Linked DNA regions of Elephas maximus indicus. The protein of the gene in region 2 interacts with the protein of the main gene of each other region in a pairwise test. Links are inferred from orthologs where the notes say so. Each region holds a gene or a part of one and is shown on either strand. Other genes may lie near its edges.

Region 1 (16,164 bases), on a different chromosome or scaffold from region 2:
CCCCAGACCTACGCTTTCCTTTTCTCCATAGCAGTTATTACCATTTGATGTAAAGTTACTTGCTATTTAATATATATTCCTATTTGAATATATAAATTTTCTGTCTCCTTCCATTAACATATGTGCATCACAAATGCAGGGATTTGATTGTTTTTTCCTCTCTCCTTAGTCTACTTCTCTATATTCAGTGCCTCTAAGGGTGCTTGGCACATAGCAAGTTATCAGTTAATACCTTCTGAATTAATGAAGAGGGAAAAGCATGGTAGGCAGAGGGACTAGCATGCACGAAGGTGGGAGAGTATGATGTCCCTGTGGCTGAAGCTTAAGGTGTAGAGGGTGGGGGCAGGAAGGAGAGCTGGGAAGAGCCTGTGAGGGGCCTTAGGACCACCTTGTTATGGATTGACTCGTGTCCTCCAAAAAGGTGTGTCAACTTGGCTAGGCCACAATTCCCGTATTGTGTGGTTGTCCACCATTTTGTCATCTGATGTGATTTTCCTATGGGTTGTAAATCCTACCTTTATGATGTTAATGAGGTAGGATTAGAGGCAGTTATGTTAATGAGGCAGGACTCAATCTACAAGATTAGGTTGTATCGTGACTCAGTCTCTTCTGAGATATAAAAGAGAAAAGGGAGCAGAGAGACAGGGAGACCTCATACCACCAAGCAAGAAGAGCCAGAAGCACATGTCCTTTGGACCTGGGGTCCCTGCGCTGAGAAGCTCCTAGGCCAGGGGAAGATTGATGACAAGGACCTTCCCCTGGAGCTGGCACCCTGAATTCAGACTTCTAGCCTCTTAGACTGTGAAAGAATAAATTTCTCTTTGCTAAAGCCATCCACTGTGGTACTTCTGTTATAGCAGCACTAGATGACTAAGACAACACTCAAGATCAAGGACCTTGTCCCATAGTAATGGGGAGCTAATAAAAACCACTGGTTACCATACAAGGCACTGTAGAGGTTTATTCCCTACCATGGTATACACCTACCTCTGGGGATGTGTCAAACCCTCTAGATGGAGGGCTGACTTCATGCCACTGCTCTTACACTCTGTGATTAGGACATGGGATGTCTCAGAGGGACCATCAGGCACCAGAAATTGAGAGCCTGGGCCTCTGCCTGGCCTGCTTCACTGGATGCCCAACATGGTCACAGTGGGGCTTCCCCCCCATGATTTTGACTAGGGACTGGAGACGATGGGCTCAAAGACCGAAAGGCCTGGGTGAATGCTCAGCCCTCACAGCCCCACGCCCCTCACCTTCTGTTAAGGACTTCTAGAAAACATCAGGGAAACCAGGCTCCATGACTTCTTGGCTTAGACTGACAGCCTGAGTGTGTGAGAGCCACATGGGCAGGTAGGATCACAGCGAACATAAAGTACCCAGTACTTGGTCACAGCTGCTCTAAAGACGTCTCTGTGTGTGTGTGCACGCGTGCTCATGCACGCATGCATGCATCAAGGGGTGGAGATGGGGGGGCCATCTCACAACTAGGAATGGAAATTGATTTGGATGTGGTCTAACTTCAAACTCCTAATTTTTAAAATTTATAGAGACTGTACATTCAAATAGACAGTAGGTCGCTTTGGAAGGCTATCATTTATCCCAATGCTATTGCCATTGCTCCAAACACTGCTGTAACATCTCTTTTGCAACTACCTTTGAAGCCATGGAATATCCTCTGGAATGCCCTTAATGGTGGCAAATTACCATCCTTTGAGAATAAATTTGATTCATGGAAGTAACTAAAATTAATTCCTGGCTAAGCCTTGAGAATAAAGTAAAAGTCAAATTGGATATTGTTTGGGGCCAAAAACCATAGTGAAATTGACTCTCTTATTAGGTTCTTGCACTGGGTCTGGGTATTAGGTTCTTGAACAATGTTGTTGTTGTTGTCAGGTGCTGTCGAGTCGATTCCGACTTATAGCGACCCTGTATACAACAGAACGAGACACTGCCCGGTCCTGTGCCATCCTCAAAATCATTGCTATGTTTGAGCCCATTCTTGCAGCCACTGTGTCAGATCATCTCATTGAGGTCTTCCTCTTTTCCCTGACCCTCTACTTTACCAAGCATGATGTCCTCCTCCAGGGACTGGTCCCTCCTGATAACATGTCCAAAGTATGTGAGACATAGTCTTGCTATCCTTCCACTTAAGAAGCATTCTAGTTGTACACCTTCCAAGACAGATTTGTTCGTTCTTTTGGCAGTCCATGGTATATTCAATATTCTTCGCCAACACTGCAATTCAAGGGCATCAGTTCTTCTTCAGTCTTCCTTATTCATTGTCCAGCTTTCGCATGCATACGAGGCGACTGAAAATACCATGGCTTGGGTCAGGCGCACCTTAGTCCTCAAGGTGACATCTTTGCTTTTCAACACTTCAAGGAGGTCTTTTGCAGCTGATTTGCCCAACGCAATGTGTCTTTTGATTTCCTGCCTGCTGCTTCCATGGGTACTGATTGTGGATCCAAGTAAAATGAAATCCTTGACAACCTCAGTCTTTTCTCTACTCATAATGTTGCTTATTGGTCCAGTTGTGAGGATTTCTGTTTTCTTCTTGAACAATAAAAAACCAGTGCCGTCAACAGGTCCTGACAATTTCCAAATTAGAGTTCAGAAATATGTTTTCACCGATAGCAATGAGATGAGTTAAAAGGATGCCCTGAGGACCACACTTTGCACCACAGACCAGGCCTGCCACTGCAGGCATCCACTGTGCTGACCACAATTCCAATACTCACAGAGTGAAGGTTGGAGAGAGAAGCTGACTTCCGAGGAGGCGTCTTCTTCGGACTGAACGTATTCCCAAAGAGAGGCATCTTTGGCCTGATGAAGGAAAGGTCAATCACTGCTCCCTTCTCCTAGAGTCAAAAAAAAAGTCAAGGATGGAAAAAACTGGATTAGTGACCTTGTGCCATTTTCCTCAAATCATGGAGACATATACATTTTGCCTCACGGCTTTGTCTGAGTATAAACTATTACCAATCTTGACAATATCTCAAGTGTGTTGACTGCTCACTATGCACCAGGTGGTATGCTAAGACCTTTACATGCAATATCTCATTTAATTTTCATGCAACCCTGTGATTAGTGCTTATTATTATCCCCATCTGACAGGACATGTGACATCTCATCTAATCCTCACATAACCTGGTGATTAGTGCCGGTTATTACATCCATTTGACAGATGAGGTTTAGAAAGACTGAGATCATAAGTGCGAGATGGATTCGAACCCAGGTCTGTCCAGCTCTACCGTGTGTTAACCACTATTGTCCAGTGCCTACCCTGCCTGTCTTAAGTTTTGTCACGGTTGGCATCAGCAGATGTGTAGTCTACAGCAGTCAATGCAATCCCTCCTATTCCTGCACACCATAAAAATTACACCTGGAGCAATCGCCCTGCATACAGTCCATTTTAAAGAAATGAAGCCTTGCTGATATTTCACTCCAGACTGCTAACAGTGCCCCTCACTAGGTCATATGTCAGAAGGCTGCCTGTCCCGTATGGTGAGGTGTCCGGAGGAAAGGGGGAGGTTCACAACGTGGCAGAGCTGACAATGGCTCCTCATCTATACATCTGCTTTCTGCATACTGCGACCTAGTGCAATTCACGAAGGCACAGTTAAATAAATTTACTGACATCACCCAGTTTTTCTCGGGGGGTGTGGGGAGGTAAACTTTTTTTAAATCAGTGTTAACAGACCTACAGAAAAGTACACAGATCTTAAGTGTGGCTTGAGGAGATTTTACTACACGCATATACACATACACCTGTGTGATCACCGTCCAGATCAGGATACGGAACATTTCAGCACCCCACAAGCCTCGCCCAAGCCCTTTGTGTCCATGGACTTGTATAATATGTCCTCTTTTACTTCTGGCTTCTTTGATTCAACATATTTGTGAGATTTCTTTCTTTTTACTCAACATCATGTAGTTGTAGTTTGTTCCTTTGCACTGCTGTAAAATATTCTACTGTTTAAACACACCACAATGTATTTATCCACTTTACTGATGACGGACGTTTGGATGGTTTCCAGTTTTCAGCTCTTTTAAATAGTGCTGCTATGAACATGATTAGCCATGTATTTCAGTACACACATGTACACTTTTCTGGTTCTCTGTGTAGAATTGTTAGTCACAGGGGATTCATACATTCAGATTTAGTAGATACTGCCAAACAGTTTTCCAAAGTCATTGTACCAATTTGTACTTCTACAAGCACCGTGCAAAAGATCTTGTTGCTCCACAACCTTGTTAACTTTTGGTATTTTCTGTCTTTTCCTTTTATCCATTCTGGCAGGCGTGCAGTGGTATTGCACTGTTTGTTTAATCTGCTTTTCCCCGATAACTAAATTGAATACTTTTTCACATACTTATTGGACATCGATAAAACCCTCTTTTTTGAAATGTTCAAGTATTTTATCATTTTTTTTTTTACCTATTTGTCTTTGTTTTCTTATTGATTTGTAAGGGTTCTTTATATATGTTGGATATGAGTCCTCTGTTAGATATATGTACAGCACTGAAAAATATCTTTTCTCAATCTGGGGCTCACCTTTTCTCTTCCTTATTGGTTTCTTTCGACTAAAGAAATTCTTAATTTTAATTAAATCTAATTTATCTATTTTTTATAGTGTTTTTGTGTCCTATTTAAGAAATTTTTGTCTGCCAAAGAGCATAATGGTATTATATTAACTTTTAGAAATGTTATCAACTTTCACATTTAAGGCTATGATTCATCTGGAATTTTTGTATATTGTGTGAGATACAGGTCAGGGTTCTTTTTTCCCATATATTACCCAATTTTAACTTAAAATACAGAAATAGCTTTAAAAAATAAGTATATTTTACTTTCTCTTCTAGAGCCACCCTTTAAAATCCTCTGTTCAGCTCTTTTACATCAACATTTCTTCCATTCGTTTTAGCTACTCTACGTTCAAGAATAAATTTCAGAGTCTCTTCTGACATCCATTTTGGTCTTTTTTTTCTTTCCTGTCTTTTTAATGACCTTTTGCTTTCTTCAGGTATGATGTCCATGATGTCTTACCACAACTTGTCTGGTCTTTTTGGTCATTAGTGTTCAATGTGTCAAATGGGATATACTCAAGGTCATACTTTGGCTCTCGTGGACTTGTTTTTTCTTCAGTTTCAACTTGAACTTACATATAAGCAATTGATGGTCTGTTCCACAGTCGGCCCCTGGCCTTGTTCTGACTGATGATATTGGGCTTTTCCATTGTCTCTTTCCACAGATGTAGTCAATTTGATTCCTGTGTATTCCATCTGGTGAACTCCATGTGTATAGTCGTCATTTATGTTGTTGAAAAAAGGTACTTCCAATGAATAAGTCATTGGTCTCGCAAAATTCTATCACGTGATCCCTGGTGTCATTTCTATCACCAAGGTCGTATTCCAACTATTCGTCTTTTTTCCAATTTTTACATTCCAATCACTAGTAATTACCAATGCACCTTGATTGCAGGTTTGCTCAATCTCAGACTGCAGAAGTTGGTAAAAATCTTCAATTTCTTCATCTTTGGCATTAGTAGCTGGATTATAAATTTGAAGAACTGTCGTATTAACTGGTCTTCCTTGTACTGTGTGGATATCATCCTATCACTGACAGCACCGTAACTCAGAAGAGGTCTTGACATCTTCTGACAGTGAATGCCATATTGTCCCTCTTCAATCTGTCATCCCCGGCGTAGTGGACCATATGATCGTCCAACTCATAATGGCAATACCAGTCTGTTTCAGCACACTAATGCCTAGGGTATGGATCTTTATGCGTTCCATTTCATTTTTTATGATTTCCAATTTTCCTAGATTCATACTTCATACATTCCACATTTCAATTATTAATGGAAGTTTGCAGCTGTTTCTTCTCATTTTGAGTCATGCCACATCAGCAAATTAAGGTCCCGAAAGTTTTACTCCATCCACATCATTTAGGTCTACTCTACTTTGAGGACCCCCACGTGCCTGTCAAGTTTGTTGTACTAGGGGGGCTTGCGTGTTGCTGTGATGCTGGAACCTATGCCACTGGTATTCAGATACCAACAGGGTCACCCATGGCGGACAGAGTTCAACTGAGCTTCCAGACTAAGACAGACTAGGGAGAAGGACCCAGCAGTCTACTTCTAAAAAGAATTAGCCAGTAAAAATCGTATGAATTGCAGCAGGACACTGTCTGATATAGTGCTGCAAGATGAGCCCCCCAGGTTGGAAGGCACTCAAAAGACAACTGGGGAAGAGGGTCCTCCTCACAGTAGAGTTGACCTTAATGATGTGGGTGGTGTCAAGCTTTTGGGATCTTCGTTTGCTGATGTGGCACAACTCAAAATGAGAAGAAACAGCTGCAAACATCCCTTAATAATCAGAATGTGGAATGTATGAATCTACGAAGACCTTCAACGAAATGGAGCGATACAGTGGCTGCACCAATGGGCTCAAGCATAACAACAATTGTGAGGACGGTGCAGGACCAGGCAGTGTTTTGTTCTGTTATACATAGGGTCACTATGGCTTGGAACTGACTTGATGGCACCTAACAATAATAACAACAACATACTTGAGAATTAAAAAGGAAAAAGAGCCAAACCCATTACCGTTGAGTAGATTCCGACTCATAGCAACCCTATAGGACAGAGGAGAACTGCCCCATAGAGTTTCCAAGGAGCACCTGGTGAATTTGAACTGCCAACCTTTTGGTTTGCAGCCATAGCACTTAGCCACTATGCCACCAGGGTTTCTTAAGAATGGACTGCCATAAAATCTATCATATTCAAATACATACAATGGTTTGTAATAATGAATGAATACACTACTTTGTGATGCTCATGGCAACACTGCGTGGTTCAGAAGTGTTTCTTAAGTGTTTTATATGCATAAAACTAAAAAACCAAACCCAGTGTTGTCGAGTCGATTCCGACTCATAGCGACCCTATAGGACAGAGGAGAACTGCCCCATAGGTTTCCAAGGAGCGCCTGGTGGATTTGAACTGCCAACCCCTTTGGTTAGAAAGGTAAAATATATACTGTATACTAAGACAAACATTTGACTAATTGATACTAAATAAGAACCATATGTACCTGTTCTGTTGTTGTTGTTAGGTGCCTGTTCCAACTTACCTACCAATTTGCCTTAAAGACAGATTTAGGAATGGATCTCAATCGTAACCCAGGGACTGCCTGTACTGTGCCCCTGATCAGAATGATTAGTAGTGGTAGCTGGGAACCATCTAGTTCTTCTGGTCTCAGGGTAGATGAGGCCATGGTTCATGCAGACCACCTGTAGACTAGTTTCTTCTTTGAGTATGGGTTTCCTTCTTTCTCTTGCTCCAGATGAGTAGGGACCAGTAGTTGTATCTTACATGGCTGCTTACAAGCTTTTAAGACCCCAGTCACCAGTCAACCAACCAACTCATTGCCATCAAGTCGATTCTGACTCATAGCGACCCTAAAGGACAGTAGAACTGCCCCACAGAGTTTCCAAGGAGTGCCTGGTAGATTCGAACTGCCAACCTTTTGGTTAGCAGCCATAGCTCTTAACCACTACACCATCAGACACTACTTACCAATGTGGAACATGAAATCAGGTTTTATATCAAATATTGTTAAAGATAACTCATAGAATGAATCCATCACTATTAGCAAAATATGTATCCAACAAGAAAATGAAGAAAAACTAGTATGCTGTTTTCAGTTATGCCAAAATTAATTTCACTAAAATTAATGACAGACATTTAGAAGCTCTTTTAGGGATTTTTTGTGGCGCAGTGGTGAAAAGCTTGGCTGCTAACCAAAAGGTCGGCAGTTCGAATCCACCAGCTGCTCCTTGGAAACCCTATGGGGCAGTTCTACTCTGCTCTATAGGGTCGTTATGAGTCAGAATTGACTTGATGGCAATGAGTTTTTTGTTCTTTTACATTATACGGCACAGAAATATACGTATATATGATTTGTAAATAAATACAAGGATACTGAGGGCGCGTGTGCTCATGATATTTTTATCAGGTAGGTATGTGTTTATAATTAAAACAGTTTGGCCCTGGGCACAACAATTCGGGGCTTGAACAAACCAGAATGCTTCCAGCTTGGTGGTGGAGAAGACAGGGGTGGGGACCAGGATGTTGCAGGAGTTTGAAGTGTGCCACCATGTCATCTGAAACACACAGGAAGGCCCTGGGGCATAGTTTCTGCTGGAGAGGAGAAAGGTGGTGGTCATACAGAAGATGGAGGAGAATTACCTTATATCTGTAGAGGACAAAACAAGAATGAAACAGAACAATACCCAGGGAGAAAGATATTAACTCAAACAAGAAACGGCAAAGTACCAAACACTAATGAATATCACTGCCTGTATACCCATCATGGGCTGGGCCCTATGTTGTACATATTTTATGTATTTCTTTTATTCCTCGCAGCAACCCTGCAAGTAGGTATTTTCCTATTCATATTAAAGATGAGAAAACTAGGGCTTGGAGAAGATAACCAATTTTCTCAAGGTCCACAGCCAGTGAGTAAAGGAGCTAAGCAAGACTCCTAAGCCCATTAAAAAAAAAAAGACTCCTAAGCCATCCTTCTTCCTAGGTACCATACCACCTCAGGAAGAACTTTCTTACATTCAGAGCTAGCCTGTCCAAAGATGAAAAGGGCTGTATTGAGAAGGAGGTGTAACACCTACTCCCAGAAGTAGTTAAGCAAGTGGAAGACTCCTTGCTGTGTTGCCACAGGGTAAGGATTTAGACTGTCCAATCCCAAGATTCCTTGATCCCATGGTCAGTTGGCTAAAGCAGTATACCAAATTACCCTTGTATAAAAACTTGAAGGGCATGTGATAAGAAGCACCATTTTCATGCTGGATATTGGCAAATTTTTTTAAAAAAGGGTACCATTCAATGCTGGTGAGGAGGTAGGCCTTAGGAAGGCCTGCTTGCAAGGTTAGTCCTTGGCTGGTTCTGGGAACTTGAACTTCAGGAAGGTCCTTGCCATTCCCAGAATTGATAAGAGTGCTCACCGTGCCTAGACTGTACAAACAGCGGTTTATGTTGAACACCTGCTTTCCTTCTGGGAGTTTGGAATCCTGGTATGTGCTAGGCAGAGGGTGCCTAAGGGACCAGGCCCCAGTTAAAATTCTATGCACTGAATTTCTAATGAGCTTCCCTGGTAGAGATTTCACCCGTTTTCACAACTCATTGCAGAGGAATTAAGTGCATCTTGTATGACTCCTCTTGCCTGGTTTCCTCCAGACTCAACGCACCTTTTCCCGTTGCTGACTTTTCTTTGTGTCCTTTCACTGCAGTAAATCGTAACTGTGAGTGAGATGATATGTGGTGTCCTGTGAGTCCTCCTAGTGAATCATCAAACCGGGGTGGTCGTCCTGACCCCCGACATAGTGGGGAAAAGACACTTTCATTTACCATTGGTGGAAACATAAGACGTTATAATTCCTTCAAGGGCAATTACACAAAAAGCCTAGCAAAATTTTAAATATGCCTACTTTCTGACCAGCAAATCCATGTCTAGAGATTATTCTTCAGAAGCACTTGTGCATGTTCACACAAATGTTCGCTCTTGTTAATAATACTGACAAACAAGAAGCAATGCAAAACGTCTACACCAGTGGTTGGTGCAGCCAAATAAACTGGGATACATTCTTATAATGGAATACTAAACAGTCATTAAAAACAATGAGATAGCTCTATATGGACTGACCTGAAAAAACCTACAACATACGCCCTAACTTTAAGAAAATGAGGGGTGCAACAACGTATATAGTATAATTTCATACGAGAAGACACAAAGACAAAAGTGAGAATTTACACATGCGCATAAAAACAACAAAGACCTGGAAGGATGCACCAAGCTGTTTATAGTGGTTAAATCCAGGAAGAAGAGTAGGATAATGAAGTCCAGTGGGACTGCCATTTTTATTTTTATTGTGCTTTAGGTGAAAGTTTACATCTCAAGTTGTTTTCTCACACAAAAATTTATATATACATTGTTATGTGACCCTAGTTGCTATCCCTATAATATGACAGCACACTCCCTCTTTCCAGCCCAGATTTCCCATGTCCATCCAATCAGCTCCTGTCCCTTTCTGCCTTCTCATCTCACCTCCGGAAAGAAGCTGCCAATTTAGCTAAGAAGCACACTCTTCACGAGTATCATCAAATGAAATTGCCATTTTTTATAGGTAAAAGATGGTCAAATAGTGGGAATTTCATAAAATATAATATAATGCTAAATTATTTATATTAAAGAAATATACTGGTAAGATAATATTTCATAAGTGCGTTCTTGATCCAGAATGGAGGCCCTGGCTAAACACTCTCTGGTCTCCTTCTTCGGCAGTTGGCTAAGCCTACTCCAGCTCCTTTCTTATCACTGCTGGGCTCCAACAACACATACCCAAATGCCAGAAGCCCCGAGATGCCTAACACTTAGGGATGACACTTTCTTCTTGGGTCTGAAGAATTATTCAAAATACCCAATTCCAAAGAAATCCATGAAACCTAGCTAACCCACCCTGCTTACCATACATAAGCCGTCTCCTACAGCTCCAGCTTGCTGTTATCCTGTCCCCAGGTGCAACCGCCCGTGTGGCCCTGTGTAGCCCAGCGTGGCAGCCTTCTCTCGTTTGGAGCTTTAGTAGCCAAGAGTTCTCCCTTTCATCTATCCGAGGGACTCTGTGTTGCGTCCTGCCATCCAAAGAATCTATCATCAAACCTTGTAGTTAGGTGCTATCGAGTCAATTCCCACTCAGAGCCACCCCACGTGATAGAGCAGAACTGCCCCACAGGATTTTCTAGGCTGTAATCTCCGCAGGATCAGATTGCCAGCTCTTTCTCCCAGGGAGCCACTGGGTGGGTTTGAATCACCCACCTATTAGATAACAGCTGAGTGCTTAACCGTTGTACCACCAGGACTTCTAATATAATTATAAAATACTTCCGGATTTAATGACTTTATTATAATGACAATATATTCACATATTAGTTACGAAAACAAAACAAACAAAAAAGAGATAAAAAGCAGCCCCTCCAAGCATTTGGAGACACTGGAAGAAGAAAAAATAAGCCAAGTTGTTCCTGCCCAAGCCTCCGATGATGCTACAAGCACTATGCCTGAGCACATCACCTGGACACAAGAGACCAGGTTCTAGGCCTGGTTCTGCCCATCAGTTGCTTGCTAAACCTTGGCCAAGTTGCTTTATTTCTCTGGGTTTTAACTAAGGCACTTGACTCATGACCTCATTAATTCTCATAATCTTTAAACCAAGAATTGTCTTCCATGTATCACAGTTGAGGAAAAGGAAGGTCTGGGACTCTGGGGCCTTAGTGTCCCTGGGAGTCCCTGGGTGGTACAAACGGTTAAATGCTTGACTTCTAGCCAAAAGGTTGGCAGTTCAAACCCACCTGGAGGTGCCTCAGAAGACAGGCCAGGCAATCTGCTTCCGAAAGGTCACAGCTTTGAGAAAACCCTATGGAACAGTTCTACTCTGCACACGTGGGATTGCCAGGAGTCAGAATTGATTAATGGCAACTAACAACAACAACGAAGCATGGGCCTGAGGGTCCCAGCTATTTAAAAAGGGCCCAAGGCAGCCTTCTTTTGGTGAAACTCCCTGGGGAGAGAGGGCTCAGCACAAAGGATGTGAAGGCAGAGGAGAACACCTGGGTTCCAACCATTAGTCTGCCGCTCAGACTCCAGCACCTATCATCTCTGGGCCAAGGCCTCTTCACTTGTAATCAAGGATACTCATAGACCTGACTCACAGGTTGTCATAGTGCTTTATAAAAACCTGTGGCATTTAATCCTCACAACCACCCTGGGATGCAGGTCAGGTAAATATTCCATTTACACATCAGAAAACTGAGGCTTAGAGAAGTCAAATAACTTCCCCAAATCACACAAGAAGGTCATGGAATGAGGCTTCAGCCAAGGTCTACTCCTATCCTCCGAGAATAATAATCACTAACGACAGTGACCCTTTACAGTTTGCAAAGGGTCACAAAATGCATTGCCTTATTTTAATTCTAATAAGAAGGCAAAGGAGTAGTTTTTGATTTTCATCAAATTCTCAAAGGGATACGTGTCTCGCAAAGGGTTAAGACCAGCCAAGCACATGCCTCGGGTCACCCAGGGCTGTCGGACTCAAGGAAGGTTGTAAACAAACGTTCACGTACAATCGGGGGAGGAATTACCGTGCCATTTTACAATCGAGGAAACAGACCTAGAAAAGGGAGGTGATGGGACCCGGCCTCCGCCCCCTTCCTCACGTTCCCCTGGCCCTCCAGCTGCGGGGAGGCCCTAGATAAACTGAGGAACCTTCTCCCGCGGTGCCGGGGCGTCCCACCCCTCCTCTGCCCCTCCGGCCTCGCTGCCCCGGCGGCGCCGAGCTCGGAGACGTACCTGACGCTGTACCAAACGCCACGGTCGAAACCCAGCCGAGACCTCGCTCGAGGACCCCACCAGGGTCCCCCATCAACCGGCGCTCCCACGGCTGCCCGGCCTCGCCACCGCCCGCCCACCGCGCCTGCGCAGCCTCGACCATCACAGAAAGTGGGGGTACCCGGCGCGGCGGGGTCTCCGACGCGTGCCTGCGCGAGGCACCAGAAACTCCCGCAGGCTCCCCGAGACGTATTAAACGGCGTATACAAAGGCAGTGCCTCGCGGAGGCTTTTACATGCCCCATATTATAGGTCGGGACGAGGAGCCATCCTCGCCCTCCCCACAAATCCATTGGTCTGGTCCCTACAGCCCGCGGGGCGGCCCGTCACCGTGGTAACGGCGTCTGGCGGACGCCACCGTGGCGCCGGCGGGCCCATTGTTTTGGGAACGTGGCAGTTGCGCCTGCGTTGCCTTGAGAACGCCGGGACTCACAATAGCAAAATGGGCCTCTCCCTGACGCCTCCCCTCCTCCTCATCCTCTCTGACCAAAAAGCAAAGGGCACCAGCCCACTTTCCAGAAGTTTGCAGGGTCCCCTGAGGGACCTGTGGCAGAACCGGCCCCGAGGTCGTCGGATCCCGCCAATGCTTTCAGGTAAGACGGCTGCACTGACGGACGAGGACCCGCCTTTCTGCCTTGGGCAGCGCGCGGGCTGCCCGCGGGCCTGCCCCCTCCCTGCGCCCCGACTCGTCGACTTCTACAGTCTGGGGAAACTGAGGCACAGGGGTCGTTTCAAGGTCGCATAGTGAACAAACAACAGAGAACTAACTACTCAAGGATCAGCTCCAGAACTCCTAAAGCCTAACAATGTGTATTAGTACCGTCTGATAAATAAACTCAGGGTCATTTATTTTTTCGTTCAAAGGATATTTACTGGGTGCCTAGTGGATGCACCAGCTCGTCCATCCAGTGAGGGACAGAAGCCCAGAGTCTCCTGGTTCCACGTGCAACTACAGCACACTGCACTGAGGAGAACGTTCCACGTCCTGGAACCAAAATCGGCATGGCCCAGCCAGTGCTGTCCCGTAGAAATGTCATGTGAGCTGCCAAAAAAAAAACACCAAACCCACTGCCATCAAGTCAATTCGGACTCACAGGGGCCCTACAGGACAGAGTAGAACTGCCCTGTTGAGTTCCCAAGAGGCGCCTGACAGATTCCAACTGCAGATCTTTTGGTCAGCAGCCTTAGCACTTAACCACTACACCACCAGGGTGAGCTACAGGTCATTTAAATTTGTCTGGTAGCTACATTTTAAAAGGAAAAACAAAAAAGAAACCTAAAAAAAACAGGTGAAATTAATTTGAATAATGTCAAATCAGCCCCCAACGCATGGCGACCCCGTGCACAGTGGACTGAAATGCTGCCAGGTCCTGTGCCCTCCTCATGGCCGGTTGTGGATTGGACTGTTGTGATCCATAGGATTTCCGTTGGCTGATTTTTGGAACTAGATCACCAGGCCTTTCTTCCTAGTCTGTCTTAGTCTGGGAGCTCCACTGAAACCTTTTAAGCACCACGGCAACCACAAGCCTCTGCTGACAGATGGGTGGTGGCTACTCGTGAGGTGCGGTGGCCGGGAATCGAATCTGGGTCTCCTGGTTGGAAGGCGAGAATTCTACCACTGTGCCACCACTGCCTGCTCAGGCAGCTTCTAATAGGGGAGGCTGTAGGACTTCCCTTCTTTGGTAGACTGCTGATTGTTCACTTAACTGGGTCAAAATCCACTATTATGTCATCTCATAGCACTGTGTAACTTCGAAGCAGTGGTCGCAGTTATAATTGCATAATGATTTGTATAATTTTTGATTATTGAACGTCTCACCCACTAAACATAGCTCCATCAGGGCAGGGGTCATGTGTGGTACAACTCACCCTTCCTTCCCCAGTACCAGCACACTGCTGGCATCTGGAAGGCACTCAGTTAATACTCATTGAATGACTGAAAGTTAAACTAGATACAAGCGAATTCAAACCCAAGTCTGTCTTTAAACAGGGGACACTTGACCATCAGCTGCCAGAGTGTGTGTGCTCCTTGAGAGCAGAAGGTGTCTTATTCTTCCGCTCATCTGCCCCTGGCATTTAGCACAGTGCTTGGCACAGGGTACCCAGACCCGCACAGAGTAGATACTGTTGCTTTACACAAATAACGCATGCCTTCTATGTTTGTTTGCCAACCGTCCTCCCCACCACCCAGGTACTTTCATAAGCCCTGCTATGCCAATTTTTTTTCTTTTTTTACATGTTGCTGTAGAAAATTGGCATAGCGCACTTACGAAAATACCTCGAGGGGGGAGGGCACAGCTGGCAAACAAACATAGGAGGTGCACATTATTTGCATAAAATACAGTATTCAATGAAGGTTCATTTTCTCCCCTCTTCTTTCCCACCCAAGTAGTGACAATAAAAACTTATCTTTTTCAAAGAATAACCAAAAAACCAAACCCAGTGCTGTCGAGTCAATTCTGACTCATAGTGACCCTATAGGACAGAGTAGAACTGCCTCATAGAGTTTCCAAGGAGTGCCTGGCAGATTCGAACTGCTGACCCTTTGGTTAGCAGCCGTAGCACTTAACCACTCTGCCACCAGGGTTTCCTTTCAAAGAATATTTATCCTAAAATGATGTGAGGAAAAATTCAGAATGGAACAGAGTGTGCGTTTTAAACACTTCTCTCAAAAAAACATGATATTTATACAAATGGCCAATAAGCACATGAAAAGATGCTCAACATCATTAGTCATCAGGAAAATGCAAATCAAACGCAGTAAGATGCCACTTCACACCCGCCAGGATGGCTATTATATTAAAAAAACGAAAAATAACAAGGGTTGGTGAGGATGTGGATAAAGTGGAAGCCTCCTCCATCGCTGGTGAGATTGTAAAATGGATTAGCCACTGTGGAAAACAGTTTGGCAGTTCCACAAAAAGTTAAACGTAGAACTACCTTATGACCTGTATATTGCACACCTGGGTAAACACCCAAAAAATTGAAAGCAGGGACTCAAACAGATACTGGTACACCAATGTTCATTGCAGTGTTATTCACAACCCAGGTGTCCACTAACGATGCATGGATAAACAAAATGTGGTATATCCATACAATGGAATATTATTCAGCCATAAGGAGAAATAAAATTCTGATATATGTTACCACGTGGGTGAACTTTGACAGTATGCTAAGTGAAATAAGTCAGACACGAAAGGACAAATATTGTATGATCTCACTAATATGAAATGTCTAGAAAAGGCAAATGCATAGAGACAAAATAGATTAGTGATTTCCAGGGGCAGGAGCACTAGGGAAATGAACAGTTATTGCTAAACAGGTACATACTGAATTTTTGCTTGGGGTGATAAAAAACTGGAAATAGTGGTGATGGTTGCTTAACGTTGTGAATGCAATTAACGTCACTGAATTGCACACTGAAAATGATTAAATTGGAAAATTTTATATTATAAATACTTTACCACAGTAACATTTTTTTAAAAGCACAATATTTAATTCTTCCATACTTGGTATCGTTAGTGCCATCGAGTCAGTTCCGACTCACAGAGACCCTTTGTACTATGGAATGAAACACTGGCCAGTCCGGTGCCACCCTCACAATTGCTGCTGTGTTTGAGTCCGTTGTTGCAGCCGCTGTGTCAGTCCATCTTGTCAAGAGTCTTCCTCTTTTTTCCAGACCCTCTGCCTTACCAAGTATGATGTC
Region 2 (16,164 bases):
AAGAGCCTAGAACAGCGCCTGATACATAAAAAACATAATAAATGTCACTTCCTCTAGATTAAATAGTATTCCTAACAAAAAGCTGAATATCTGGCCTCTGGTTGGGAATGTAACCCCTTTACAGACCATTGTTTCTATAAGGAAATAACACTTGATATATTTCAATCTATAGTATTTTTTTCACAAAGATTGTTTATGGGTTAAAAAATTCAAAGTCATTAAAAATATTCATAATCTTAAATACAATGAAAAAGAAGATGAGAAAAACACATTTTTAACCTTAACAGTGACTTCATTACCTTTATGTCCTTTATTTTCTGTTTTTCAAAGTTGTCAATAGTTTCCTCCAGATGACGTGTTGTTCGAGTAGCATCCATGGTAGCTCTCTGTAATTCGGTTTCTGCCTACAAGTGTATTCCCCAACCAAAGACATAAAAAAATCAAATCAGAAGCCATTCAACTGAGTCTATTAGAGAAATGCTACCATTGCGGTATTGGCTTTCAGCTGTAAAGCTGTGGTTGTTTAATATTGTATTTTACCACATATAATACAACGATCCACGTAACAAGCACATGCACAATACATAACTTCAAAAAGATTAAGTGACATGATTGATGATCTCAAAAACAAAACCAAATGAACAATAAAAACTTCCCTGTCTCTCAGCAAAACCATTTCTCCCTACGTCCTTTGATTTTTTGTATTTCCTAAATGTTTTCACCAATGTCGCTGCCCGTGCCACTTATCTGCTATCCTTTTTCTTCTTACTTTCTCTTAAACTCATTCTCCCCAGAAAAGAAAGAGACTTAGTGACTTATTAGCAAGTATTTTTAATCCTCTCAAACTCTGTCTCCTAATCAGCAAAATATAATTATGCTTATTTCATAAGACTGTTGAATGGAATAAATGAAAGCGTGCTTGGGACACAGGTACACCAATAACTATGACAATTTCCACAACTGACAGTCTGTGATTTTTATACCATTATAACACTGAGATATTCTGGGCTACCAAGTCTGTAAATGAAGTCTCCTATTGTTATCACCTTGCTTACTTTTATTAACTTTCCAAATACATTAAACATTTCTAATTCTATAACATCCTCATCAGGTAGAGAATATACACTACAAATTTTTATTACCTCAGCATGGAATTTTTAAGTGCAAGTTTTTCTTACAAGCTAACAATACAGCACCGTCTTGATTTAATTAATGCTTATTACGAAATATACACACTAGTAATGAATAAATTAGATGGCAAGTTCAATGCTTTGCTTCATATGCACTAACGACAAGTACTCATACTATCTAGATCTAGGTACAATATTGTACCTACTAGCTACATGTGGTTATTTAAATTAAATAAAATTTAAAAAATTTTCTCAGTTACTCTAGCTGAATTTCAAGAGGTCAACAGCCACCTGTAGCTAGTAGCCACAGTGTTGTAAAGGCAGAGCATTTCCAATCTAATCATGTCTTTCTTCTAAAAACTGTCTCTTCCTTTACGGCGACTGTTGCCCAAAAACATTTAAAATTCTTTGTTAAACAGATGTTAAAAAAACATATTCCAATTCTTTAATTCTTCTTAATAAAGTTTTGTTTTCCATACTCTTTTATGTACTTAAAAATATCATACATCATCATTTAATATTTAATCTGGGAAAAAACTGCATCTGTTTTCAAAGTTTTGTTACATTTAAGATTCTAAAATTCTGACAACTAGCCCTCGCTTTTTCAAGAAAATATATAAATTGAAACAAGTAAAAGGGATTTACTATAAGGATCCATCTCTTGGCACTCCACTTTATTACCCACCTGTGACTGAAATTTTTCATAAAGGAAAAAATACACTTCAAAAGAATACAACAGTTCTTTCAACAAGTTAAAATCATTTAGTCTTCTATAACTATACACTCTTACAATCAGGTTATATTTGGTTTATAACTCTATTAACTATATATTTTTGCAAGTAGGTTAAGTCAAATACACAAGATACTAAGCATTTAAATATATTCACCTATACCTCAAAAAAGCTGTTAAAGTATGTGTATCCATTTGTTATGTAGGGTGTGAAGTTTTTTTAAAACAATGCAAGCTTTAAATTATAACCAGTGATAAAAAACAATGCTCTACATTATTGGGCTTGGAATTAACCTCATTACCAAAAAAACCCCACTGCCATCCAGTCGATTCTGACTCATAACACTCCTATAGGACAGAGTAGAACTGCCCCGTAGAGTTTCCAAGGAGCGCCTAGCAGATTTGAACTGCTGACCTCTTGGTTAAGAGCCGTAGCACTTAACCACTATGCCGCCAGGATTTCCAACCTCATCGCAGGAAATTCAAAAATAGAGTTTTTAGAACATCTGTCAGTATGAAAAAATTCCTAACAGTTATTTGATGCATGTTAACCTTTTGCTAATGAGAACATTCAAGTCTAATAATTGCTAATACTGTTTATTACGTGTAAATGATGCAATTCTTATAACTCCTTTGCTTCATGTCTTTCCCCTCCCCATTTACTGATACTTTCATTTTAAATTTTGGAAGGGTTGGAAGAGCTGGTAAAACTATGAAAAAGAGTGGGGAGGAAGAAGCAACGTCTGAGACACCCGTACTTTTATCTACCACCCTTCAGCAACTACTATTCATTTCTGAAAGTTTGAAATCTACTTACCGGGGCACAGCAACTCACCTAAAGTTATACAACTATTTTTAGCAAAATAAAGAGAATACAGATATCTAATGTTTCTTCCTTTCATTGACATATCTTTAAAATCCTAAAATACAACAATGTGAGCAGGAAATGCTTTTGATTAAAATACTAAAGACCGAGAATATCAGTATACTTAATGAAATTAGTCAAGAGTTCAAAATGATTTATAAAGGGGTGGGCCAGACTGCTGTTTTTCCAACTGTGTCGCAGGGAACTTGTTCAGAGGCTACATGGGGCCTTGAGGGGTGAGCAGGGAGGGCCCAAAGATTCTTCTTTACCCCACCCCCATCTACCAGAACGACTCTGTTTTATTTTACACACTGAACGTTCATACACTTCATTTGAACAAAGAGTCAGAAGATTTTTAACGGTCTACCCCTGGTGATGCAGTGGTTAAGAACTCAGCTCCTTTCTAAAAGGCCAGCAGTTTGAATCCATGAGCTACTTCTTGGAAACCCTATGGGGCAGTTCTACTCTGTCTCACAGGGTCGCTCTGAGTCAGAATCAGCTCGATAGTAATAGGTATTCTGGTAAAAATTCAAGGATGCAATGATTCCAAAAAAAACCAAACTCGTTGCGATCGAGTTGATTCCGACTCATAACAGTGATTAAGTATATTTATATTGAATACATTTATATACAAATTGTGCTTTATTTTCTAGTCTCAGATTGTCAAAATCTACTGGAGTCATATATAGCTCTTTGCCAGTGAGCTATGTATGTTGCATTTATTTCCCTCCCACGTGAACCCACGGACTTGATTCATCTATACTCAGGCCACCTTCTCCACAGCAGTGTTCAGAGAAAAGCACCTAAGTCAGAAAAATCTCTGTCTTAAGACTAGATCCATTTCCACATTGACTGCTGATACCAATAGCCCTGATTCAATCTTGCCAACTCTTCAGGACTCCAGATGTTCCATTTTCTCTGCCCTCACGCTCCCTCTCCACCAAAAGACAAATTTTTTTTTATCTCTGACTGAAATTTTTTTTTTTTAATTGCACTGTAAGTGAAAGTTACTGGCTTAATTCTTAAACACTGGTAACATTTCCTGGTCTCTGCCTCAATCCATTTGTCAGTTATGCATTTTCTAGCACTCTCTGGTTTGTCTGACTTTTTTAAAAAAAAAAAAACAACACAGACTCTCTATAATTTGTAGTTTGAAGATCTTAAGCCTCAACTTCCATCTAGACCTTCCTATCCCAGCCTCCAATGGACAGTCCCAGCCCTCTGGCTGCTCTCTTTTGTTTTGTTTAGTACAAGGTTGGGCTTAAGTACCTTTGGTCCAAAGGAAGAAGGACCAGGCAACTGGTGCACCCCATATATCACTGCTCAAGGGACTCCCCTCAGGAATGGAGGTACTCTGGAACCTCAAGTGCCCCCAAAGAGCCACTCTTCACATGGTTCCTGGTGAGCTGGGCAGTGACAACCTTAAGGAAGTAGGAAGGAGACACATATAAGAAGGAACGGGAAAAAGAGGCAGCAGGGATAAGTTAGTGCTTTCTAGACAGTCCCACCTACCCCAGGTGCTGGCAACTAGCCAGGCACTATTTGCTATTCTTTTTTCTAGTTTAAGAAAATAGTCATGTTTCATAGAAACTTTCTTACAGTAGTCACTCCCATCTAGATCCCTTTGTGTCCAGCTGAGGATCTCAATTATACTCTGGAATCTCTTGAGGGTCTTTTGCTGAAAGTCATAAATGTGGTTTCATATTTTTTGTTTTTAAAGAATGAAAGCAATTATGGGAAATTTTTTCCTTCCTTTTCTCAAAAGTGGGGCAGAGAGGGCACTGTTATATCAGGCTTAACGATAGACTTTTAAGTTAATTTTATAATTAATATTTAGTCATCATCACTACGTGGAAAAAAATCTCAGAATTCTGAATTTACCCTTTATAATTATAAAGCATCTGCATTTATGAGTTTTTTTTCCTTTGAGGGGGATGTCTATTTTGGGGGATAATATAAAGGGACTGAAACTTCAAAATTAGCTAAGTGCTACAGTGAGAATTCCTAAACCTATGTGTTTCTTTTTAACCTTTATATTCAAATTCTCCACACATTGGAAAACAGAAATGCATCATTTCCATACTTGCTGACTTTTGTATGACATACCTTACAACATACTTTAAAAAACCAAAATTCAAAGGATACAATAACGTGTCGATCAGATGGGTTTCTCTGCCGTGTCCTTTCTAACTGGGTTAACTGCTTAGCTTCTCGATTCCTTGCTGTTAATGTTGCTTTGAGGTCATCCTACAGATATGCATTTTCTTTGTTAATATAAATTTTGGATTTAAGAAATAAAGTACACACACTCTGTTTTAAGACTAAGAGAAAGCTGCTTGTTTGCTCCAGGTGCCATTACTACAGGAATTATTAGTACTGCGTAACAAATGTGTATTTATGGGTGCATACGTCTGTTTCTTTAAAGTCCTTTAAATGAGAGAGACAAGAAAGATCATTTCAATGCAAAATTATAACCATAAATATATAAATAAATAAAAACGTATACAATACTGATTGTGGCTGCACGGGCATACACATTAATCAACTCAGTAAACAGTTAAAATGTGAGAATTTTATTGCATGAAATTGCACCCCAATAAAGCTGATTTAAAAAACAGAACTCCGTTACACTCATTTCTAAAGTCAAAATGTTATCACCAATTTAAAACAAAAATATAATCTTCTATTCATATAGTAAAACAATTTCTGTCGATATATTCTTTCTGACTACAAATATTAAATATCTAAAAGTTTCCATAACAAAAAAAAATAATATCTTATGTTGCTAGAGTAGTATACAGGCAGTCCCCAGGTTGCAAATGTCTGACCAAATAGACATTTGCCCTTCTGTGTTACATAAATTTACCTTCACTTTGAAACAACTCAATTCAACGTACAACAAATTCTTCATCACAATCACCTTCTCTTGCTGCAAGTGCAGATTTTAAATCATTAAAAAGGCTTTAAGCCTTTTCTCGCACTAAGCAAAACCAAAGCAAACCCACTGCCGTCAAGTCGAACTGCCCAATAAGGTTTCCACGGCTGTAAATCTTTATGGAAGCAGACTGCTACATCTTTCTCCTGCGGAGTGGTCGGTGGGTTCAAACTGCCGGCCTTTTGGTTAGCAGCTGAGCGCTTTAACCACTGCACTACTAGGGCTTCTTTATTGCACTAAAACCCCAAAAAACAAACCCCTTGCTGTTGAGTCCATCCTGACTCACAGCGACCCTACAGGACAGAGTAGAACTGCCCTGTAGGGTTTCCAAGGATTGCCTGGTAGATTTGAACTGCTGACTTTTTGGTTAGCAGCAGAATTCTTAACCACTATACCACCAGGGTTTCCTTCCTGCACTGAAGTGAGGCTAAATAAAAACCATATGCACCTGTTTCGACTTACCTACATACAAATTCGACTTAAAGACACCGTTAGGAACAGATCTTGTTCATAACCCAGGAACTGGCCTGTCCTTAGTAAACTCACAAAAAAACATTTCATTATTTTCAAAGTTCTAAGAAACGATCTTTCAAGGTATCTAAAGAGAATGACTAAACACTGCTTTTTACCTTTTATTAAAAGGACAATTATTAGAAACCTCATACGCCTTCTCAGAATACTTAACAACAGGAGAAAAAAATAGATTTACTCACCCGCTTCATTTTTACAATGGTTCCATAAGCTTTCAAAGGTTCAACTACTTTGGCTTCAAGTCTTTCAACCTAATGAAAATTATTATAAAACATAACTGAAAAGAAACACAGACATATCAAAATTTAAATTCTGAAATAAAACCTGTGTTTAACCTGAACACAATTACTACAGAGTTCAGTATTTTTTTTAAATTTAAGTTAAAACACTATTGTTTAACTTATTTAAATAAAAGGATTATCACCAGAAATGGGTAAGATTAAAATTCTAAATTCAAGCACATTAAAAATGGTTAATCTGTACAGTAACAGTGAAAACACAAATGTACCTGGTATGCAACATGACCAGAGAATGTCCCAAGGAGCTCATCCCTGCCAAACCATCAACTGTGTATGGCTTTTCGACCTTAAAGTTGCAGCTTTGGGGGCAAGTTTTAAGACACCTCAATTTTAATACAGCTACCATTTTCAATGTGTTAGCACAGTGTTGGATACTTCATATATGCTATTTCTGAAACATAAAAGCCCACCTTCCAGATAAGAAAATTGAAGCTGAAAAATATAGAATATCGGAAATATTTAAAGCTGCTCAAAAGCAAAAAAGGCCTAGGAAATGCTGTTATTAGCTGCAATTTTTCTGAGAAGTCATTTGTAAATTAGCAAAGCCTAGAAAATAAGATAAGTGGTCTCTGTTGCTGAGCTGTCGAACTATGCGGTTGATCGCTCTTCTTCCCCTAGTATACACTGATTCCCTTTTTCGTTATGCATTAAACAGTTTTTCGTAAACATTAATTTTTATCACATTTTGAGTAGCTATTTCTCTTACCATTACCACTAGTGGAAGGCACTGAAGAAAAACAGGTTAAAAAAAGACAAGTAGGTAGCATAAGAAAAGTGTATCACGGGAGAAAAATAACTCTCTCAGACATTAAATTTTTTTTTCTCTCAGTAGAGATGACACATAATTGTTTAAAATGAACATGTATTATTTTTATAACAGGTAAAAGGCTTTTTTGATGACACATTTATATAATCAGTGAATACATTTCATATTGATTTTTCTTTAGTTCCTATAAACAAAATGTACAGAATATTTCCTTTTAGGAAAATAAAAAAATAAAAAGAATGTTTCATTTTAGGAAAAAAAAAAAAAAATCCAGTCCCCACCAAGCATTTAAATATCAGGAATCCTAGAATCAAAACCATAACTACTCAGGATAGTTTAAAGTCTATATCATTTCTAATAACCCATACTGATTATCTGTTCTGTTCTCCTTTTTGTTGCCTACCTTTTGTTCATTTCATTTCATTGTTCATTAGCAACTCCACCATTTTGTAAGCAAGGGAAATAAAAGGAGAACAAACGTAAATCAGTTCACTTTGCTATTTGAGAAATAGCATAAAGGTTTTCTAGAAAAGGGTATTGAAATTATTGGCCAAAATGGGATGTTAGGACCATGTGAATATAAATTATTTTTGAGACAGTAAGTCCCCAGCTATCATGTATAACTGAGTGACTTGTTTATTACAGAAGACATGTCATAGAATAAGAACGCAACATTTTCCCAGAAAGTACCCCCAAACGTAATTAATTACTTCTTAAGTCTCTGAGCTTCTCTAGTTTCTAGTCTAGTTCTGTATGGATAGCAATTGTAGGTTCAAAGATTAATATTCTCATTTTACTTATCTTTGATCACAAATGTGTTCTAGGTTTTAAGAAAGGTCAAAAGCACCAATAAAAAAGTACATTAAAAAAACAAAAAACAAAGCAGCTGTAACTGGGCAACTTCTAACAAGTTAATCTGTGTCTTGGAAAACTAAATAAACATAACAAAATTCTTATGAAGTATTAAAGGAAAATAAAAGGCTTTTAGAAAGAAAACATTTACAGCACCATCTTCTACTCTCCACTGCCCCAAAAAAGGAAAAAACAAACAAACCCACAAATAACTACTGGGTGGTACAAATGGTTAACAGGAAAGGTTAATGAGAAAGGCTGGAGGTTTCAGTCCACACAGAGGCACCTCACAAGAAAGGCCTGACCAACTACTTACAAAAAAATCAGCCACTGAAAACCCTGTGGAAAACAGTTCTACTCCAATGCACATGGGGTCTACGTGAGTATGGATCAACGTGAGTATAAGTCTACTAGTTGGCAAGTGGTTAACTACTGGTTTGCATCAGTGCTTTTTTCTTTTTTTGTCAATGAAACATTGGCCAAACTCCAGAGCATGGAAGCATCTTGCCTATTTATTACTTATTCACATACCATTCCCAACATCTTGAATCTCCAGACACACTTTAAAATATGCTTACATGGACACCAGACATAGTCATGCTTCTTTTCTTTCCCATGGATACTAAGCTTACTATCACCTCTAAATGGCCACCCCTTGGCCAAAAACTGGCAGTGGGGAAATTCAAGACTTCAAGAAAAGACTCTAACGTTTGACTTGAAAATGGTAAAATAAATCCCAGAAAGGTTCCCTTCAACAGACTCACGCAGGGTAACGGACATGGAAATCTGTACGTTTATCAAGAGTGTGTTCACCACTGCAGTTAGGGAGATAACACGTGCACGTCTTCCCGGTTCCTTTATCCACTTCACTGCTCATTCGTAACAATGACGCTGTGACCTCACGCCATACCTCTGCTTGGCGATAATCCTGAAGTTTGGCAAACTCATCAGCAAAGTTTTTCAGGCCTTGCTTTAAATGTGGGGTCTCTGTGGAGGCATACACGTTGATTTCATTCACCAGGAGGTCTGCTTTGTCTCTCAGTCGGGCAGTTTTCCGCACGTAAGCAGCAAAGATTTGGCACAGTTCTCCAAAATGCTTCTCCACATTCGTGACAGCATCTTGCAGTTGTCTGGTCTGAGCGTCCCTAGAGAAAAAGGTGACACAAAAAGCAAAACATTCTTGTTAGAGACGAGATGCCTTCATCGTTATGTTAATTCAATATGCAAACATTCCCGGGCGTCTTGCAGCTTCGAAGACGCAACCATCAACAATCCAACGATCTCTCGGGGCGGATTCTCACCGCAATTTTGCGGATAATTGTCTCTTTCGCTCATCCAGGACCCCATTCCCAGCCTGGCCTCAATATCCCGACAGGGTAGGTCCAAGAAGAGGCCGGGCCCGGGCGGGCCTCGCACTGCGGGGTGCGGGCTGCGGGGCGTGGGCTGCGGGGCGTCTCCGCGTTACGCGGCCTGGGCGCCAGGAGAGGCGTGGGCAGCCGACTGCCTCTCAGGCTTCTGCACGGCCCGCGGCAGGGCCGGGACCAGAACCTGGGGAGCGTGGGTATGTGGCAGCCAGCCCACCCCCCGGGCTCCCTTCGGCCGCCGGGGCTCCCTCCGGCCCAGGGAGGTAGGCCCCAGAGAGCCACGGGTCGGTCCAGCCTCCTGCCTAGGCCGGAATTCGGCGCGGAGGCTCCTGGAGAGACGCTCCACGTCCCCTATTCGAGCCCTCGCGTGTAGGGCCTCCGGGCAGCGGGGCTCCGGGGTTGTTACCGGTTTTCCAAGCTGCGCCTCAACATCTTGCCTCGCGCAAGGCAGAGGACCCCGGGCGGGGACCCAACGACCAGGATCCGAGGGGCCCGAACGCGCGCTGCGGCGCGAGCCGCCGCCTACGTCGCCAGGAGCTGGAGAGCCCGCCCTGCGCGCCGCCGCGCGGACCCGGGCGTTTCTATGGAAACGCAGCGCGAGTCCCCGCGGCCGCGGCGTTCTCTGGCCCTGCAGTCAAAGCTGGAGTCACCTGGAGCCACCCCCACACATTCTTCCCCTTGGAGTTTATCGCAAGCAGAGGAAAAGCCCGCGGGGCCATTCGTCCTCTTTCAGAGCCTCATTTAGCAAACACCCAATCCAAGTCTTTCCAGACTAGAAAGGAGAAAAGGGACAATTAACCAATCACTCGTTGCCGTCCAGTAGATTCCGACTCACAGCGACCCAGTAGACCGGAGGAAAATGTAAAACTAAAAGCAAATAGGTTCTAGTCTGTGCTTATGCGACATTTAGTTTTATATAAATATATGTCAAATTGTCTGCGTCTCTGTGTTAAATCTGAAAATGTGGGCTCTTGGAGGTTGCCTTTGGAAGGGGCGTTTATTCTACAAGTATCTGTTGACTTCCTACTTTCTGGAACAGATTGTGGTAGACAATGGGAATAATACAAAGGTAAAAAGAAGGTATCCCTACCCTGAAGGGCCTTACAGTGTAATGAGGACTTGTTAGTTGCGGTGGGGTGGGCTCTAACTCATGGTAACCCAGGGTACAGGAGAACCAAATGTTGCCTGTCCTGTGCCATCTTCACAATCCTTGATAGGATGGAGTCTATTGTAATGGCCACCGTGCATTTTGAGTGCCTTCCAACCTATGGGGCTCACCTTCCAGCACTGTATTCGACAATATTCTGTTGTGATCCATAGGGGTTTCATTGGCTAATTTTGGCAAGTAGACCACTAGCCAGTGCTTGCTTCCTAGTCCATCTTAGTCTGAAAGCTCCTCTGAACCCTATTTAGCATCATAAACCAAAAACCAAACCCACTGCTGTCAAGTCGTTTCCAACTCATAGTTGATCCTATAGGACAGAGTAGAACTGCCCCATAGAGTTTCCAAGGAGCACTTGGTGGATTTGAACTGCCAACCTCTTGGTTAGCAGCTGTAACACTTAACCACTACATCACCATAGCAACACAAGAACCTCCACTGACAGATTGTTGATGACTTTGCCCTAGGTGAAATGGCTGGGAATGGAACCTGGGTCTCCTGCATGGAAAGTCAGAATTCCATCACTGAACCACCCCTGAGATAAACAACAGGAGACATTTCTTTCTCCTTTGAACAACCATGTCCTTTTAGGCCTATTGGCTTTTACTTGTGCTGCTCTTCCATGTAAACACCTATTTACCTTTAGGAATAAATACAAGTTTTAACTGTCAGGGAGACTTCCTAGGCTCCACCCATCCTTCTTTCATCAAGGCAGACTTAGGGGTCCCTTTCTCTCTTATATACAGGTTTTGTACTGTCTCCTGTGCACTAGACTTTGGGCTCTTGTAGGCAGAGAAAACATGGTCTTGGTTTTCTACTCCTCGGGGCTCAGTGCTGTTCAATAAAAGTTTTTTTTTTTTTTTTTTAAACAAATGCATTCCCCAGTCCTTTGTTACCTCTCTTATGGAACTCACCTCATTCTCTTATGTTACAACATGTAACTGTCTGCTCCCATTGCCTGGTATGTCCCAGGTGTTAAAATTAAATAACTCCCCAAAAGAATGGACAATGCTCCAAGACTTCTGGGCATGTTATCATTAGATATACCCCTGCCAATCAACCTCATTAATCTCCCAAGAATACCCCTTTTTTGTTTTCCCAAGGACCTTGATCACTTCATAACGGATGGTAGATGTTTAGCTTAAAATTTTCTTTTTCCCAAGACCTGTGTCTCTAAGACTTTTGTGTATTTCATGTGACTTGTTTTTTGCACTACTGTACAACCTTCAAAGGACCAACAGTACATTCTTTCATCAAGAGATTGTAAATGGCATGTAAGCAAAAAAACCACTTCGCCATAGCTGCACCAGTGTCTCTCAGTTTGCCCATTTGCACATCTCCCTCTTTCTCTTAGCAAATAGTTGATCTCCTTAATTGTCAGTCTTACTTATTTTAAAATAGGCATTGTGTTGGGCTCTGAGCATGCATTGGTGATAAGCAAAAAGCAGAAAAGTCTTTGCGCTTATAGAGCTCACAGTCTCCTGGGGGGGGTTGGGGGGTTGGCGGGGAGGGAAGTGGGGAAGAGACTGATAAACAGCTACACCTTAAATTGCAACTGAGGTATGTACTACTGTATCAACTTTTGCTGTGTAACAAAGTACTGCAATATTTAGTGGCTTAAAATTATCCTTTAGCTAGTGAGGAACCTTTTCATTTTCCTGAAATCCAGAGTTCTGGAACAATGGAGTTGGGGTGACCTTCCCAGGACATTTATCCTGGGGTTTCCTTTTGAACCCTGAGCCTTGGAGGAACTGGTTCCTGGATATGGCCTTTGAGTCAAACAATGATCTGGATAAACCAGACCAAGATAAAACTCACACACACAAATCCATTGTTGTCCAGTCAATTCAGAGTCATAGTGACCCTATGGGACAGAGTAGAACTGCCCCATAGGGTTTTGAAGGCTGTAATCTTTATGAAGGCAGACTGTCAAACCTTTCTCCCACAGAGCTGCTGGTGGGTTCAAACCACCGACCTTTAAGTTAGCAGCTGAGTGCTTAACCACTGCACCACCAGGACTCCTTACTAGATAAACCAGTAAGACCATTTTGCCTTGGGCATTGTGCTCTTTTGAAGAAATCAGTCAGTTTCGGGAAACAGACTCCAAAGATCAGATTGGGAGCTATGTTTAGGGTACATTGGTAATTATTTTAATTGTTCCTCCAGACACTGCTGTATGAAAATCCTTCCTGACCATAAATTAGTTTATCGGTTCTGTCCTGACCCTTTTTTCCACGGCAATGCCAATACGATTTCATGTAAGAGTGTTTGAAGTTCTCTCATGTTCAGAACATTTTTGACTCTCTAGGATTTTGGGTTAGTATAAATGTTATCCCAATTGGCAAATCATGTATTAAACAAACTTAAATCAATTCCTATTATTGGCTGAATATGATTTTTGTTTTAACACTAGTTTAAGATTCTGAGTTGTCTGGGTGTCTCTCGTACTTTGACTCCGCTCACCTGGGCTGTCATACCTTTCTGATCAGCTGGCAGGTCTGCTAGTGGCTGGATGATCTAGGATGGTCTCATTCATTTGTCTGGGAGTGGGGACAACAGGGGTTAACATGTTTCTTGTTCTCCCTGCAAGTTATCCAGGCTTCTTACTGTTGAAAGGGCTCCGAAACAATGGGAGAGGACAAGCGTCCCTGCTCAGGTGTCTTTCAAGTCTCTGCCCATGTTGCATTTGCTAAAATCCTATTGGTCAAAGCAGGTCATATGACCCAGAGTCAGCATGGGAGAGCACTCAAATTTTTATGGCTAGGGGGCAGTGAGGCGCAAATGGTAAAGCACTTGACTACTAGCTGAAAGGTTGGGGGTTCGAACCCACTCAGAGGCACCTTGGAAGACATGCCTGGTGATCTGCTTCTGAAAGGTCACAGTTATCGAGTAGTTCTACTTGATGGCCACTAACAACAACAACAATAGGGATGGTGAGTAGGTAGGGGGAGAACTGATGGCCACTTTTGCAATGGAACACAATATGTACTCTACCACAACCAATACAGAAAAGTATGTGGAACCAAGAGAGCATATACTTTCCACTGCCGCACTGACAATTTCCAACTGTTTCACCTCTAAAACCTATCCTGAATAATTTCTTCTACATTATCAGAATCCAAACGACCTTCATCATTTACCCCTACTGCAAAAACTTCCTTACTGAAAAGTACCCTTACGGCAAAAGCCTCCCCATGTTCACTGTTACAGGCTGCAATGCAAAATCAAAAATGTAAATCAGATCATGCCAACCCTCCACAGCCTCCCGGTGTGCTTAAAATAAAATGAAAAATCCTTATCCTGGCTGTTAAGGCCGTATCTCACTTCTGCCTACCCATCTATCTTCTCTGACTCCCCTACTGTGCTATAGCTACACTATCTTCTGCTCTGCATATATCAAGCTCATTTCAGAATCAGCTGTGTGTTTGTTATTCTCTCTGCCCCAAATGCTCCTTCCTCAGATCTTCACATACGTGGCTACTTCTTGTTATATGGGATTCTGCTTAAAAGTGAGGCTTCCCCGATCACCCAGAATACACTGTGTTTCCTTTGAAGCACATAACATTCTCTGAAATTAATCCATTTTTTTCTATGCTATTTCTGTCTCCCATGACTAGAATATATTCTCCATGAGAATACCTTTTTCACCGTTATATTTCCTGTACCACCACTGTGCTTGATACGTTGTTGCTAGCTGCCACTGAATTGGTCCCTGACTCGCGGTGACCTCATACACAACAGAATGAAACACTACCTGGACCTTCACCATTGCCTTGATTGGTTACAAATTGGATCCTTGTGATCCATAGGGTTTTCATTGGCTGATTTGTGGAAGTAATATCCAGGTCTTTCTTCCTAGCCTGTCTTAGCCTGGAAGCTCCACTGAAATATGCCCACCACGGGTGACCCTGCTGGTATTTGAAATACTGGTGGCTAGCTTCCAGCATCATAACAACATGCAAGCCGTCACAGTACAGCAAACTGGCAGATGGGTGGTGGCAGCATCGTACGGTAGGGGCTCAATAACTAGTTGAATTTATCAATGAAAAACCGAATGAATAAGTGAAAGCCCATGACCAAGGGAGCATGGTGTGAGTAAAGAAAAAGAAGAAAGCTAGTGAGGGTAGAGTGGAGGGTAGAGAGATATAGTTAGGGGCACTTCTTTTCTTATATGTTACACTTCCTCCTAAGATACACCGTCTCATAGAAGAGGAGCTGGCGGCCCAGGGAGGTCAAGTGTCTTTGCCAAGGTCACATGATGAAATAGCAGGAGAGCTGGAGTTAAATCCTTTGTCTTCCATCTCCAATGGTCTTTCCACTTTACCAGAATCTCTCTCTCTCTCTCCCTTTTTCTTCTTCCTCCTCTTCTTCTTCTCCTTCTTCTTTTTCTCTCTCAAGAATTATAATGTTTTGAAAGTTCTGAAACATAAGTTATTTTAATTAGTAAGTTGTCTTAGGCTGCGTTCTCTGGAGGAACGAAACCAGTAAGGCATCTACATATATACATGTAGCAATGGGTTTGGTATATATACATATATATATATATATGTATAAAAACCCATTGCTGTTGAGCCGATTCCAACTCATAGTGACCCTACAGGACGGAGTAGAATTGCCCCATAGAGTTTCCAAGAAACGCCTGATGGATTTGTACAGCCAACCTTCTGGTTAGCAGCCATAGCACTTAACCACTATGCCATCAGGGTTTTCATATATATATAGGGAGAGATTTATATCAAGGAAATGGCTCACACGGTTATAGAGGCTGGAATGTCCTAAGTCTGTGGGTCAGGTAGCCACAGGGGCTGCCGAACCCAAGATCGGCAGGTCAGAGAGCAGAGCTCTTGCTCACAGGCTGCTAAGACCAATGAATCCCAAGATTGGTAGGCAAGACCTCAGGTAAACTGCTAGCTCAAGTCCCAAGAACTGGAGGTCAAACAAACAGGAGCCAGCTGCAGGATCCAGCAAGAGCAAAAAGCCCACAAGCCTTTCCAGAATGTCCACTTATATTCGATGCAGGGCACAAGCCCAAGGAAACTCCCTTTCTGCTGATTGGCTGCTCAGAGGAGATCCCATCATGGAGGTGATCATAACATCATATGACTGCCGAAGCACTTAGAATCATGGCCCAGTCAAGTTGACATACAATGTTAACCATCACATAAGTGAATGTCATTCAGTATTTTGAGAAGAAGGAGGGTGTGTGTCGTAGGATCAGTCAATCTTTGGGGATAACATTACAAAATTCCTGAAAATTATTGTCCCAGGTTACAAGCAATACATGTACAGACTTTCTTAAACTACTATATCATATTTGTATATTTATTGTGAGAACGGCATAGTCTTATTTTGCATAATATTGAATGAATTCCAATTTATTTAGGATGGGTTAAGAGGGGGTCCAGTGGAGTCAAAGAGTTATATCACCCTTATTCACTCATTTAGGTTTATGTCTAAAAAACATAACTTCAAATACAGTTGTTCCATGTTAAGTAACTTGAGCAAGTTGTTTTAATGCTGATACATAGAA

The links.
Region 1: the proteins of CIBAR1 (region 2) and CBY1 interact in binary tests that used the Homo sapiens proteins (3 or more experiments, as listed by UniProt). The two-hybrid records come from large-scale screens. The link is inferred for Elephas maximus indicus from reciprocal best matches to the Homo sapiens genes CIBAR1 and CBY1.

The regions. Positions count from the first base shown.
Region 1 is NC_064822.1:182,552,663-182,568,826, reverse strand, and holds the start of CBY1 (protein chibby homolog 1), read right to left. Parts: upstream 8,205-16,164; 5' UTR 8,163-8,204; coding exon 8,085-8,162; intron 2,862-8,084; coding exon 2,742-2,861; intron 1-2,741. UniProt on the Homo sapiens protein: Inhibits the Wnt/Wingless pathway by binding to CTNNB1/beta-catenin and inhibiting beta-catenin-mediated transcriptional activation through competition with TCF/LEF transcription factors.
Region 2 is NC_064833.1:48,273,540-48,289,703, forward strand, and holds the start of CIBAR1 (CBY1-interacting BAR domain-containing protein 1), read right to left. Parts: upstream 10,031-16,164; 5' UTR 9,905-10,030; coding exon 9,879-9,904; intron 9,254-9,878; coding exon 9,019-9,253; intron 6,443-9,018; coding exon 6,374-6,442; intron 4,973-6,373; coding exon 4,832-4,972; intron 405-4,831; coding exon 300-404; intron 1-299. UniProt on the Homo sapiens protein: Plays a critical role in regulating mitochondrial ultrastructure and function by maintaining the integrity of mitochondrial morphology, particularly the organization of cristae.